2 linked regions of the Elephas maximus indicus genome follow. The protein of the gene in region 1 binds, or shares a complex with, the protein of each later gene. Links are inferred from orthologs where the notes say so. Each region holds a gene or a part of one and is shown on either strand. Other genes may lie near its edges. The genes, in order: CCND1 and AMBRA1.

The links.
Region 2: the proteins of CCND1 (region 1) and AMBRA1 are in contact, whole or in part, in a cryo-EM structure (PDB 9IVD), measured with the Homo sapiens proteins. The link is inferred for Elephas maximus indicus from reciprocal best matches to the Homo sapiens genes CCND1 and AMBRA1. Residues at the interface, in NP_444284.1 of Homo sapiens: Thr286, Pro287, Thr288, Asp289, Val290, Arg291, Val293, Asp294, Ile295; in NP_001354397.1 of Homo sapiens: Arg54, Ser55, Phe57, Val73, His75, Arg96, Thr97, Trp99, Leu116, Ala139, Arg184, Ile945, Asn1012, Asn1029.

What each region holds. Positions count from the first base shown.
Region 1 is NC_064825.1:132,456,670-132,463,742, forward strand, and holds the start of CCND1 (G1/S-specific cyclin-D1), read left to right. Parts: upstream 1-3,987; 5' UTR 3,988-4,228; coding exon 4,229-4,426; intron 4,427-5,995; coding exon 5,996-6,211; intron 6,212-6,814; coding exon 6,815-6,974; intron 6,975-7,073. UniProt on the Homo sapiens protein: Regulatory component of the cyclin D1-CDK4 (DC) complex that phosphorylates and inhibits members of the retinoblastoma (RB) protein family including RB1 and regulates the cell-cycle during G(1)/S transition.
Region 2 is NC_064825.1:102,061,060-102,068,346, reverse strand, and holds the start of AMBRA1 (activating molecule in BECN1-regulated autophagy protein 1), read left to right. Parts: upstream 1-4,252; 5' UTR 4,253-4,467; intron 4,468-7,287. UniProt on the Homo sapiens protein: Substrate-recognition component of a DCX (DDB1-CUL4-X-box) E3 ubiquitin-protein ligase complex involved in cell cycle control and autophagy.

The sequences.
Region 1 (7,073 bases):
ACAAAGCCCCCGACGGCTCGGGTTCGAGGGTCCCCGGGGAAGGGGTACCGGAAGCTAGGTTTGAGCCCCATTCCCCCAAGCCTGCGAAAAAGGCTCCGTCCTCCTCCTCTTCGCCCCCCCTCCCCGGCAAGTATCGGGAGTTCTAGAACTCGGAGTCTCCCCACCGGAGACCCCGGCCGTCCCACCCACCCCCAGGGCCAAGGCGAAGCGTAGAAACGCTTTCTGGAGGGATCCACAGGGGGAAGCCGGCTAGAAAGGCGGGGGGTACGTCCCCGCGGAAGATCCTCGAGAAAGGGCGGGGGAGGGCAGGTGACAGGCCCCGGGGCGCGGGAGGGACGTCCTGCTCCCGCGGGGCCAGGGCGCGTGGGAGCCGACGACGGTCTCAGCGTGGTCCCGCCGCCTGCAAAGCCGCAGCCCCAGGCTCCGTGGCCCCGCTGGTCCTGGAGCGGCCCCGCGAGCCCTCGCACCGGCAGAAGCCCTCTCAGACATCCAGGGGCACGTGGCCTCTGAAGTCATAGCCCCCATCCCCGCCCGAGTTCTCCGCCTTGGCTGGAGAGGCTTTCTTCTACACCTGGGCGCCCACTCCCCACTGGGAGCTTGAGCCGGCAGGCCGGAAAATACTGAACTTTGGGGTTCATTTTGCTCAGGGCACCAGGCAACGCGTTTTGAGTGGGCGAGGATCAAGGGGATAGAATCTTCTTTCAACTTCAAGAGTTGCACCTCCTCCCTCGCAATCCCAAAAGCGTCTTTGGGTCCAGGGCCCCACTACTGTTGGGGTTTTTAAGTCCTGCGCCCACTTCGCCCGCGTCCGTAGGGGCAGGCAGTGTCCCAGCCCCGCCGCCGGACGTCTAGGGGCGGGGGGAGCCTGTGTGTGGCTTAAATTAAGGGATCGCTGATGGGGGCGGCGTGGGGTGCGGCCGCCCCCGTCCCAAGCTGCTGGCTACCCCAAGTGGGCGCCGAGGCTCGGGTGCGCTGGGCGGGCAGCTTTGGGGCACGCGCAGTCGGCGCCGCGGAGCCCTTGCGGAGCTGCTGAGCACGTGGCTCTCGGTGCGCGCCCCAAAAGCTAGCAGCGTGGGGGCAGGGGAGCCCAAGCGCCCCCGGAACCCCGCGGCCCGCCTTCGGAAGCGCTTTCCAGTGCGACTTAAGGGCTTAACAATGGAAAACTCGCGGTGCTGGAGCCAAGTCCTTTCAAGTCGCCGCCAGGTATGCGGCTGCAGGTGACCCCACCTGGGTGCGCCCGGTCGCCGTCCTCCCGTGGGGAGGAGGGGAGTGCGGGTGCCGTAGGGCGACGCCAGCGGAAGGTCGCCCCTCTGGCCGCAGCCCCCTCGGGAGAGCCCCCTGCTCAGGCAGCGCGCAGCCGCGGTGGGACCTGGGTCGGCTCCGCGGCGCGCGGGTTCCTGAATGAACGCGTTCCCTTCCCCCTTTGAATGAAGGTTCCCACAGCCAGGGACGGTGGCAAACGCGCGCCGCAGCGGAATGCGCCCTCTCGGGCCAGCGATCCGCCCGGCCGCTGCCACCGCCCAGGGGACCGAGGCGAGGGAGGTGGGGATGGGGGTTCCAGTAACTTAGGGTTTCCTTTCACACGAACGCGGTTTCCCTCCGAATTGGGCCACCCGACCTTTGTCTCCAAGTGGTCCCACGCAATCCACGCGGAGCGCTTTAAACGAGCTCGGAATGCGCAGTGTCGGCGGCGTGGTGGGTTTTACAAACAGTGCCAAATGAAAGCGGCAACGGAAAAGTGCTGAAAAGTTGCTTTACTCTGCAAAATAAAAAAAAATCAAAATGCGTCTTCTGCTCTGTTAGCAGCAATTAACCTCATGGGGCCGGGCGGTGGGTTTCCTCGGGAGCTAGGGGGCCGCCAGGCTGGGCTCTCCCGGCGGGGGCTGGGCGCCGGGCGCTCCCCGCGGGGCCCCAAATTCCTGCGCCTCCCCCACCGGTTCCTGGACGGCTCTACACGCCCGCCGGCCGGGCTTGCACTTTTGCGCCCGTCCCTGAGCCGGGAAATCAACAAAGTTCCTCCTCGAGATCTGCCCGGCCCGCCTAGTAACAGCGCCGCGCCCCCATTGGCTCATGCTAATTCCAGTTTCCTCTCTTTCTCGCCGTGGGGGGGCAGCTCCCTCCTGATCCCGGAGCCCGAGTGGCCGGGGTGGGCGATCCTCCTTATGCCCTGCTGCCCCTCGCCAACGTCGGCGACTCGCGCCTCTGGCCGGGCCGGGGCGCACACCGGGGCGCGAGCCCCTGGACCCTCGAGGCCCTGCCGCCGGTGAGGGCGCGCAGCCCCATAAATCATCGGGCGGCCGCCCGGTCGGGAATTTATGAATGAAAAGCTGCCTGGCCGCCCTCGTGCGCCGGCGGAGGCTGCTGAGGCTACGCCGTGCCCGGGGTCGGCCGGGGCGTGGGTACCCGGGGAGGGCGCATGGCGGTGGGCGCGTCCTGCCCGGTCACCCATCGCCTCGGGGGCTGTGACCCTCCCAGACCCGGAATATTAGCCGCCCTCATTCCGGCGGGGGATGGGGCGCGGGAGGAATCCCCCCTGTCCCCTGGCGGGGGGCGTCTTCATTCGCAGCGTGCGCCCTTTCCACCCGGAGGGCTATCTAAAAATCCGTTTTCTTTTGCGCCTTTACTGTTAGGGGAGTCGGTGGTTTTTAGGACATTAAACTAGGTTCAAAGAGACGTAAATGAACAGTTTTCTAAAGTGGGGACAGGTAGTGTAAAAACAAACAAAAAAAAGTTAAGAATGGGTAAAATAGCCTTTTATTTAAAAAAAAAAAGAAAAAACACACCAAAAAGCCAATCTCCATTTAATAAAAATACCGTATATATTTTTGTGTGTCTTTCTTAAATTTAAGTTAATATTAGGGACCCGATCCTATTACCACGATCACATATAGATTTTGTTTAAAATCATCTGTTCAAGCACCCATTTCTCTCACTTTCAATTGTTCTAATTCTTGCCAGCCCCCTGGCGCTCACAAGCGCAGCCCCAGGGCAAGTTCGAAAGGTGAAGAGACGTTCACAACCCCGGCAAAACCGTGTAGGAAGCTTCCGGTGGTCTCGTCCCAGGCAGAGAGGAGGCTAATATTTCCAGCAATTTAATTTCTTTTTTAATTAAAAAGTGAGGCGGGACAGACCTCTGTTTCGCAGCCTTCCATTCCAAGGTGTTTTTCCGCTGTTGAAATGCCGGGACTGGGGGAGGGGACACTTGGGGACCCCTGCAAGGATGTACTTGCCAAGGTAGGAGGACAGTCCGCGGATCCCTCAGGCGAGCAGGACAGGATGATGGAAATGCTGGCCACCATCTTGGGCTGCTTCTGGAATTTTCGGGGATTTATTTTATTTTATTTTTTGAGCGAGCCTGTGCTGGGCTGAAGCCCCTTTTAACGTTTAGGGTTACCCCCTCGGGCATTTCCAATGACCCCCCCGTGGGCCGGAATGAAGGTGCCACCAGGGTCCTATGCTCTGCCCCGCGTCCCCGCCTGTTAAACAGTTCCTGAAATTTACACGTGTTAATGAAAATGAAAGAAAAGGCAGAAGCTGTGATTCCTTCCTTGGCCGTCCCTCCGCCCGTGGGTGACCTCGTGGCGTTCTCGGAAATGTGCCCATTCTCCCGGCTCGGATATAGGGTGTCGCCGAGCCCCAGCGTCCCCCCTCCATGCGGTCTCCCCAGGCTCCGTGTGGCCTGCCCGCCCTCTTCGTTGTCCCCTTCTGCAACGCCCCCTCCCCAAATCCCCGGGGACCACTTGGAGGGAACCGGGCCCCCCTGCACCCCTCTTCCCCCGCGGGGAGAAAGGCCGCGGCGGGGCGATTTGCATTTCTATGAAAACCCGGCTTCGGGGGGAACTCCGCCGCGGGGCAGGAGCGGCGCCTCTGGGATGCCTTTTGGGCTCTGCCCCTCGCTGCTCCCCGGCTCTCGGCCCGCGCCCCCTCCCCCTGCGCCCGCCCCGCCCCCCCGCTCCCATTCTCTGCCCGGCTTTGATCTCTGCTTAACAACAGTAACGTCACAAGGACTACAGGGGAGTTTTGTTGGAAGTTGCAAAGTCCTGGAGCCTCCAGAGGGCTGTCGGCGCAGTAGCAGCGAGCAGCAGCGGCCGCGCGCTCCTGCGAGGGGCAGACGAGGGCGAGAGAGCGCGGGGCAGCGGGAGGAGCGAGGCCGAGCTCGCGGACCGAGCGGGAGCCCGAGCCTGAGCCCAGCCGACCGCCTTCTCCGCCGCCCAGCCCAGCCGCCGGCATGGAGCACCAGCTCCTGTGCTGCGAGGTGGAGACCATCCGCCGCGCGTACCCCGATGCCAACCTTCTCAACGACCGGGTGCTGCAGGCCATGCTCAAGGCCGAAGAGACCTGCGCGCCCTCGGTGTCCTACTTCAAGTGCGTGCAGAAGGAGATACTGCCGTCCATGCGCAAGATCGTGGCCACCTGGATGCTGGAGGTGCGTGGCGCCGGGCCGCCCTTTGGGGACTTTCTGCAACTTGTTGCCTAAGCCCAGATTGCTTTGCCTCTCATCTCTCCCTTCTTTCACCCTCACCCCAACTTTCCAGTTCGCCGAGGGTTGCTAGGAATCTGTCTTTTCCAAAGAAATAGATATTGTGGGTATTTTTTTTTTTTTTTAACCAGGAAAAAATGGGGATGGGGGTGGGGGCGTTCGAAACTCCCTTTCCTACGGGGTGGAGGGCTCGAGGAGGGGTGCCTTCGGAGAAGCGAGTGGCGGGGGCACCCGAATAAGCCGAAAGGTGCGGGTCGGCAGGCTGGGGGCGCCTTTGGTGGCCCCCTCCCGGCCGCCACCGCCGCGCAGCCCCCGCCTGCGTCCGCGCCTATCTGCGCCTCCTCTCCCGGCCGCTGCGGCCCGGGGCGCCAGCCCCGGGGGGAGGGGGTATCGATTTGATTTTTAAATTAATATCCATGGACACGTATGCAAGGGCCACTCGTGCCAGTATTATGCGCCATCTTTGTTCTTTTATTGCAAAGCAAAAGTGTTTATTAATAATTGGGGGGAGGGTGGGGGCGGGGAGCGGCCGGCGAGGCGCTGGGGCCGCGGCGAGGGGCCGCCCGGCTGCCGGGAGCCAGGCGGGAGGGGTGCGGGAACAGGGTGTGGGCATTTCTGGGGGGACCCCGCTTGGGAAGTGTGGCCCCTTTGTTCAAGCAGCGACCCCTGGGGCTCCCTGCACCGCCAGCTGGCCCGGAGAGCACGCCGGGCTGCAAGGTCGCGTGGCCCCCAAGACACCAGGAATTGGCCCCCGTCTGCGAGGGGCTTGGCTTGGGGGGGCCTGCCCAGAGTCATCCGGGTGTCCGGGGCACATTTTCAGGCCTGCGGTGGGCGTCTGGGGGGACCGCGAGTATTTTAAAATAATTTTTGAAAGTGCGGCGTGGTGCCCTTGCGAGAGGGAAACGGCGCCCGCGCCCAGGGGGAAGGGGTGCCCCCGAGTTTCAGTCCCTGGGGCGCTCCCTGGAGCCTGTAGTGAGCTCCAGAGCCCCGGCCTAGGTAAAGGGCCGTCCGGGGATCGTTTTCAGGGATTTTTTGTGCGCCCACTTATTTTTTTTATATTTTTAAATATTTTTTGAAAAGATGACGTCTGGGGAAATGCGGCGCTGCGGCCTGGGACGCCACCTTTGTGTCTCGCAGGCGGGGCGAGCGCGGCGCCCAACCCCGTGGTCCAGCCCCGCGGCCCCGCGGCCCATTTGGTGCGGGCTCCCAGCCAGAAGGACCCCCAGAGCCCCCAGGTGGGCTGGGGTCTCCCGGCCGCACCGCTGCCCGCGGTGCCCACTCCCGCCCCCACCGTGCCAGCCGCGCGGGACTTTCCCTTTCAGTTTCGGAGGTGGATGGGTGCTGGGGGCGCGCGGGGGTGGGGACGCGTCATCGGAGGCTCAAGCCACCCCCTGCCCGGTGCCTCCCCGCGCTCCGGCGCCGCAGCCCCGGCGCGCGCGGGGTGGGCGTGCGGAGACGTCGGGCGGGGGTCCCGCGCCCCCAGCGGCGGTGGTCACGGCCCCCCTGCCCCTGCAGGTCTGCGAGGAGCAGAAGTGCGAGGAGGAGGTCTTCCCGCTGGCCATGAACTATCTGGACCGCTTCCTGTCCCTGGAGCCGGTGAAGAAGAGCCGCCTGCAGCTGCTGGGGGCCACCTGCATGTTCGTGGCCTCCAAGATGAAGGAGACCATCCCCCTGACGGCCGAGAAGCTGTGCATCTACACAGACAACTCCATCCGACCCGACGAGCTGCTGGTAACCGGGGGACCCCCACGGCCCCCAGGCACCCCGTTTGTTACAGGATCCCAGGGATGGGGGCGCGGGTCGCGGGGAGGCCCAGCCAGACGCTGACAGATCCTCGGGCCTGAGGGAGGGCGGCCACACCGCTCCGGGGCAGGGGGGAGGCCAGGAACAGCAGGCGGCAGTTATCCGGGCCGCCCCCCCATCTCGGCGCCCGCCGCCCCACATCCCACTTTCGACCACGTTTGCACCCCGGAGCGAGGGCGAAAAGTGGACGGCGCGCGCCCTCTAGCGGTGGCGGCGCGCTCAGGGCGCCCGCGCTAATTAATAAGGCCTTTGGTTGCAGATGGTGGGAGGTCTTTTTGTCTCCACTTGTGAACAGTCGGCTTAATGACAATGAGCACGGGGGCCTTTTCACGCGGCACCTTCTCTGTTTTGATCCGGAATTGCGGGTCGTCTGTCCCCCTCGCCCTACTTCCTGAACCCCTCAACAGGCCACATCCCTCCTTCCCACCCTCTGCCCTGCTCCTGGCCGGCATCCCAGGCCCCCCAGGGCTGACCCTGCACCTCTTTCTCTCTCTCTCTTTCTCTGTCTCTCTGCCCGCTTCATCTCCCCAGCACATGGAGCTGCTTCTGGTGAACAAGCTCAAGTGGAACCTGGCTGCCATGACCCCCCACGATTTCATCGAACACTTCCTGTCCAAGATGCCCGTGGCCCAGGAGAACAAGCAGATTATCCGAAAACACGCCCAGACCTTCGTGGCGCTCTGTGCCACAGGTAGGTAGGGTGGCGGGCCAGCCCCTCCTCCCCAGGCAACTGGGGCCCAGCTTCTTGCTCAGTTTCCCCGCCTCGACAGTGCCCGTATCATACCCCTTC
Region 2 (7,287 bases), about 30 Mb from region 1:
TTCCCAGTGTTGCTCCTACATGGCTACACTGCTTCCACTTTTACCATTCCAGCCCGAAGTATATGCACTACCCCACAGTGCGATGAGACCAGGCTACAAAGGACCAGAATATAATTGTAATAGCAAAATCAAAAATTGGCTCATCATTTTGGCTGCTCTTAAAGCCAAGGCCTAACCCTCTTCCTGAACTTCCTAATAAGATGACACATGATACCATGGACTGCCAGAAGAGCAACAAATCTGTCTTGGAAGAGGCACAGACAGAATGTTCCTTAGAAGCGAGGATGGCAAGACTTCATCTAACGTGCTTTGGACACGTTATCAGGAGGGACCAATCCCTGGAGAAGGACATCATGCTTGGTAAAGTAGAAGGCCAACAAAACAGGCAGACCCTCGAAAAGATGGATTGACAGAGTGGCTGCAACAATGGGCCCACACAGTAAAAATTGTGAGGGTGATGCACGATCAGGCAGTGTTTCATTCTGTTGTACACAGAGTCACTGTGAGTAGCAACCAACTCGATGGGCACCTAACCATAACAGCTACAGAGTTATTTCACCCTAGGTTCAGCCTTATTGCTACCACCCAGAATGCAGTAGAGCAAGTTTCCAAATCCCAGAGTCAAGGTTGGGAGCAGAGTCTCCTCCCTTTCCCTCCCTCTCTCCCCCAGGCAATTCCTCTAGGCTAACATGCCCAATCCTCTTCCTTGTTTAAAAAAAAAAACAGTTGCCCTTGAGTCGATTCTGACGCACAGCAAACCTATAGGACAGATAAAACTGCCCTGTAGGGTTTCTAAGGGGCATCTGGTGGATTGGAACTGTTGACCTTTTGTTAGCAGCTGAACTCTTAACTACAGCCCTACCAGGGTTCCTTTGCTGGTTTAGTCTTTCCAAATTCTTTCCATGTGATGGACAATGGCAAGGTCCATTCTTAGGTTGACCAATTATCCCAGTTTTCCCAGAACTGTCACAGTTGCTCTGAGTCAGAATTAACTCCACGGTAGTGTTTTTTGTTTGTTTTTTGGGGGGCAGTGGGGAGGCAGAGGAGGGTGTCACAGTTTTAGCATTGAAAGACCCATGTCCTGGGAAACACTTCAGTCTTGGGCAAACAGGACATTTGGTTACCCTACTTCAGAGAATGCACTATGCTACCTTTAAAGTTATGACTCCACCTGGAGAATGCTATACAATGAACAATCAATACAATAATGACTTATTGAGTATTAACACCAATATTTAGGGCATCAGTGGTACAACCCAGGATGATCTTTACCTCTACCCACTTGGTTTCTTTTTTAAAGTTCTTCCTCCAGTGTGAGGAGTATCCTGTAGGTTTGGGGGTTTCAACTCCTTTTCTCTTATGGACAATATTTCCATCCACACAGACATCTCCATAAGAACAAAACAGTCGGTTGTTGTCACATGGAAGCTTAAATCCACACTTCAAAAGAAACAGTTCTCTAAAGAAAATGTATCTCTAGGAATGCGATTCTGCCTGCAGAATAAGCCGTATTTTCCATGATCTCACAGAACAGTATAGCTCCATAGCTGTCTCAGTTTCTCAAATATCTCCATTTTCCGATGGTCATTTTAGATTTATATTTGCATAACTTTCAGGTGATTTTCCCAAAATAAAAGTCTCTGGCTTTTAAAAAGCAAAAACTTATCATAAACTTGAAATTACAGTTTCTTAGCTTTTATTACTGCAATAAAAGTTCCAAAATAATGTAGTAATTTAGGTCAAATTTGAATCAGGGGTGTAGCTCTAGACATTATGCCCCACAAACCTTTCTAAAAAAGGAAGCTTATCTATAGCATGTATTCTAGGAATTCTGGGAAGACTGCAAAGAAAGGTCTCTTTGCCAGCTCCTCATTTGGCTCCAGAAATGTGGCAGAGACTGCTTGTTTAGCTGTCACTTAGTATCCATGTGCCTTCCACCTTCAGTGGGTAAATGGCTGCCTGGGATAAAGACTACTTCCCAGCTTGCCTTTCATCTAGGTATGGCTATGTAACTAAATCCTGGTGAGTAGATATAAGTGGAAGTGCCTGTGTTACTTTCAAGATGTGTGGTTATGGCTAGGAGACGTGCTTTTCCTTCTGAGCTTCCTGCTTTTTGGAATGTGGTCATGATGGCTGGAGCTTGAGTAGACATCTGGGATCTGAGGTGAAAGCCACTTTTAGCCACTAATAGCAAAGCAATAAGATAAGAAGGAGCCTCGTATCTGACACTGAGACACCATACTTACCCTGGGGTGTGCATCTCTGAATTTCTTTTATACGACAAAGAAATAAACCTCTACCTCCCTTGTTGTTAATTGCTGTCAAATGGATTCCAGCTCAGGGCACCCATGTGTGCAGTGCAGAACTGCTCCACAGGGTTTTCAAGGCTCTGTCCTGTAGAAAGTAGATTTCTAGGCCAATTTTCCAAGGCCCCTCTAAATAGGTTTGAATTGCCAATTTTTTGGCTAGTAATCAAGTGCTTAACTCTTTGTGACACCCAGGAATTCCCTGCCTTCCTTGATTACTCTTATTATTTGTTTATGTGCAAAAAAGACTAATAATAAATAATAGGGTTATAGCTGCCTCTTTCTAAGTGCAGCAATACCTATTACACAGAAAAAGGAAATAACACAAATGTTCAGCAATGGGGAGCATGATCAGTGTATCCCCTCAGTGGACTATTGTGCAACAGTTAAAGAAAAAACTAATAAGTTTTAATAGGGGAGATGATATAATGAAAAATTATAACGTAATTGTATCTCTCCTTGAATTAAACTTCTAAAAATTATATATGGATATTTCCAAGCACTTCATGGGAACATGAACAAATTAAAATTATACATTTTGGAGGCAGACTTTTAAGTTGTTGTTTTTTAAGACTTTCATTAATGCTACTATACTGTTTACTCATTTTAAAAGTCCTCTAAAACAGTGGTAGACAACCAAAGCCCAGTGTCTTGTCCTTATGTATGGCATGTTATGGTTGCTGGTCTCATGTCTATGTGTTATTTTTATGGGTTGTCCCTAAGTATTTTCACAGACTAAAAGAAGAAAGTACAGAAAGTAACAATAAATTGTAAATAAAATTAATGCTGTAAGGATGTGTTCTTTCACTTTAATTAAATTATAAATTATTCAAGGACTGGGACTATCTTATTTTCTTTTTATGCCCTTCCAAGTCTCCTCACTCCTTAGGAGGAGGTAGGGTACTCTGTATTACTGTTCACACTTGGTAATCCATATTTGTAGTGATCCATGTGTTTTACTGAGTTGTACTCAGGATGCACATATAAATCCCTACTTGTGCTGAGCATATTTGGGTACTAAGAGACTTCAGAAACAGGCCATTGTTGTGCATGAAAATGTCAACATACTTTATCATCTGATCCCAGAGACTTTTGATCATTATGTAAGAACCACACCTGTGGTTTTATGGTCCCTGTGCTAAAAAAAACCCCAACCTATGGATTCCAACCCTTTGCCCTCGAGCGGATTCCAACTCATAGGGACCCTATAGGACGGAGTAGAACTGCCCCATAGAGTTTCCCAGGAGCGGCTGGTGGATTCGAACTCCTTAGCAGTCGAGCTCTTAACTACTACGCCACCAGGTGCCAGGTAAATCAGTATCTAGACATGTCGAAGAAAATAAAATGCGGTCCATGGATTGGCTTTCCCCTGATTTAAGGTCAGATGACACACCCGTGGGTTTTCTCAGCTTCTTGCTACGTTTGTGGGACTTTAAGGGCTTTTGTATTTACTTTGTTTCTATCTGGATTCGCATTCTCTTCCTCTCGCCATAAATACATACATATTTTTGGTGAATGTATTACTGGAAAGCCATGTAATCACATAATGTTAGAGCTGGAGAAGATTTCAGGGATCATTCATCTCACTGTTTTGTGAGAAAACTAACGATCAAAAGAGGTGATTTGCTCAATTGGGATAAATATTTTTCTAAGTTCATAAGGTAGTCGAACTGTATAGCTAAACTACAATTAGACTACAAGTGTTACTGCACCATGATTTGATTTTCAACACTCTCAAGAAAAACTCCAGGTGTCTACACAACTTAAACAGCCGGCAACCGACACAGAAAATGGCAGAAGCACAGGTTTAGAATCTGGACTTGTTTATTTATGCCTTGGACGGGAGCCGGACCTTGAAGCCACGGAGCTGTTTTCCGGCGCTCGGCTCTGGTGCCTTGAACGATAGCTCAGGCGCTCCTCCATTAATGTCTGGGCGTTCGTGTGTTCGGTGATCTTTTGCGCCGTCTTCTTGCTTGATGTCTCCTGAGCGGTGGCGGCGCCCGGTCGAGGGCTGAGTTACCCGCGAGGCTCCACACTCGGGCCGCTTTCTTCCGCCGGTCGGTAGAGCGGACCTCTTGCGTCCTTCCTGCCTATTCCTTCCTCCTCTTTGTGGCTCAGCCTGCTCGCCGGGCTGCAAACCGAGCCCCCACTCGCCTTGCAGGTAGGCCCGGGAGGAGCCTGGGAGGCCCGGCCCGGCATCCTTCAGCCACGGGGTTGAGAAGACCTTGGCGCCGGCGGGTGGGCGGGCGGACCCGCGGCCGAGACTCCGCCAGAGGAGGGGCTGTCGGGCTGCGTTCGGGGGCGCGGCCGGAGGGGCGGCAGGGAACTGAAGGAGAAGCCGGAAGGAGGGAGAGATGCTGGGGCAGCCCAGTGTGGTTCGGTAGGGAGGGGATGTTGGGTCTAGGGTGGGTGTCGGCGCCCCCTGTGTCGGGGGAAAATCGCCTTCCAGAATGGTTAAAGATTTGCGCACTTTGACCCTCCTCCCTTTTTCCTTTCCCGCTTCCTAAGGCTCCGGGTGTCATGACTCAATTGCACTGGGGACCCCCTCTGAGTCCGGCCTTTGGAGGGACCCTTGAGTAGGTGGAGGCGTGTGGAACAAGGCCCTCTGGCTCCTCTGAGCGAAGTGTCATTTTCTCGCCTCTTTTTTGGGTAGGGAAACTGAGGCTGAGGTCTGGGACGTGAGTTTTCCCCATATCCCCTGCAGATGTTGAAGGCACTGTAAGTCACTTTTTTGTCATTTACCAGCTCACCTTTTTTCGTTTTACCAGGTACTCCTTTATGCACATAGTGATTTGTCATTTGATTGTCTGTGGTTCCTTCTTCTTAGGAATATAAATTCTGTTACCGGTGACTTCAGAAGTAAAGAGACCATGTGATCTTTTGGCTGGTTTTGCTTTTCAAAGTCTGTGTTATTTTAGCGAGAATAGCAATGACAGTTTCTTTTTGTTTCTTGGTTGATAATTTTGTTTGCTGTCCAGTTTGCTTTCTAGTTGATGCTTTTTTTCTCCTCCTTCCCCTCAGCCGGTTTTTAGTGGAAATCTTTCAACTATGGTGTCCTGACAGGATGGTCAAGATTTTGAAATCAGATGGTTGGCCTTGTGAGGGTTTGCCTTCCGGGAAGTATCCAAAGGAAACCTAAGGAGTCCCTTTTGGAATACTTTTTCGTGTTTTTGATTAGTGGTCAGTGCATATACTAGAGGTAAAAGGCTGTGTGCAGGAATCATGCAAATATTGAGGTATTTAAATTGAAGGTTAACATTCTGGGAACTCTGTTATGTTTCTCTCCAAACTTGGGAAATTTGGGGAGTTACTTATTCTTACTCGTTTTATTTTCATTGAATTTGGTGTTATGATCCTAATTTGTGTAACTTTTTGTTGAAAAAAATAATCAGCGTAGAGGTCAAGCTAGGTCGGATAAGTTCTCATAGTATGTAGAATCATTGGGAGAAGCCTTTTAAGGGAGAACTGATTAAATCCCTGGTGCTTGGATGGAAAATATACAAGTCTCTGACCCAGCACAATTTTAGCATTCTCGTGTGAGCGTTGGAAAGATTTTTTTTTTCCCCTCTAATTTTTTTGTGGGGTCAGCAAGATTTAAATGAAAGGCCTTTGATCGCGAGTGCTTTTCTAGTCACCAGGATCTCAGTGCTTACTGAAAAGGATTAATGAAGAGCCACCAGACTATACGGAGAATCTAGATTGGGAAGTTAGGTTAAGAATGTGTATTCGTTGAAGAAGAAGGCTTTATGGTAGAAGAGAAATTATATCAGAGGAGAGAACTTAGAGAAGGAAGCGATATTGTCCATTAATCTTTGGTAGGTTCTGGACAGAATTTAGAGTTACGTGTAGTATCTTAGTGGTATCTTATAAGTGCTAAATAATAATAATAAAAAACAAACAACCAAACCCAGTGCCGTCGAGTCGATTCTGACTCATAGCGACTCTATAGAAAGAGTAGAACTGCCCCATAGAGTTTCCAAGGAGCACCTGGCGGATTCAAACTGCCAACCCTTTGGTTAGCAGCTGTAGCACTTAACGACTACGCCACCAGGGCTTCTAAGTGCTAAATAAAGTAAGTGGAAATTGCTGTGAGTGTCGGGAAGAAATATTAGCAACGTTTTATGTTTCTGTAAAAAGTACTTGAAGATGAATTGAGGAAGATAAGAAATTTGGTGGTAGGGCTTATGGGGTAGAGTTTATCAGCGTCTTGCCCCCTTCTCTGCTTTAGGATAGAAATTCACTCCACTTTTAACTTACTTGATCAAATCTTGTTTTGTTCTGTCAGTGTCAGAGTGGGCTGTCTTGTGGGATTTCCTTTCCGAAATGTACAGGTTCAGAATGTGATTGAATTATTCTTTTAGCAAGACAGTTCTTGGGGATTCTTAAAGGTGCTGGTTTCTTTGAATATCCTGTAGAATTTGGCCTGGAATGGAATTATGTATATCACTTGAAAAAGATAAGTTATGTGTATTACTTGAAAATTATTATTTTTATTAACAGAATAACAACTTACACTTTTATACTGTATGATTTTCAAAATATTTTCAATATGTGTTAGGAAACTTAAGAAACTTATTTTTTTGACCATATTCCTTTATGCTGCTTATTAATTATGCTGCTTATTAATGTTGAACCAAAACATTTATGGTGTTTGAGGATCCTCGTGAATGTTGACAGATTATGTTGACTATTTGTCTCACTCCTCCCATAATATGATAAAGTCTTTGCTTCTCTTAAAGGAATTGGAGAAAAAGTTTTGTCGTCGGCACACCAAGGTCTCTTTTTCCAAGATGTGCCTCAGCCTCAATAGAGTTATTTTGGAATGGGATGCAGATTTTTTTTTTTTTTTGCTCAGTGGTTTGGTTTATAAAAACAAAAAATCTGAAGTTCCTTTAATCATAGTCATTCTTGTTTCTTTCTCCAGTTGTTCCTTATAAACCCAAAGAGAACTTTCTGTTTCTTGTCATAATTTGTTTGTATA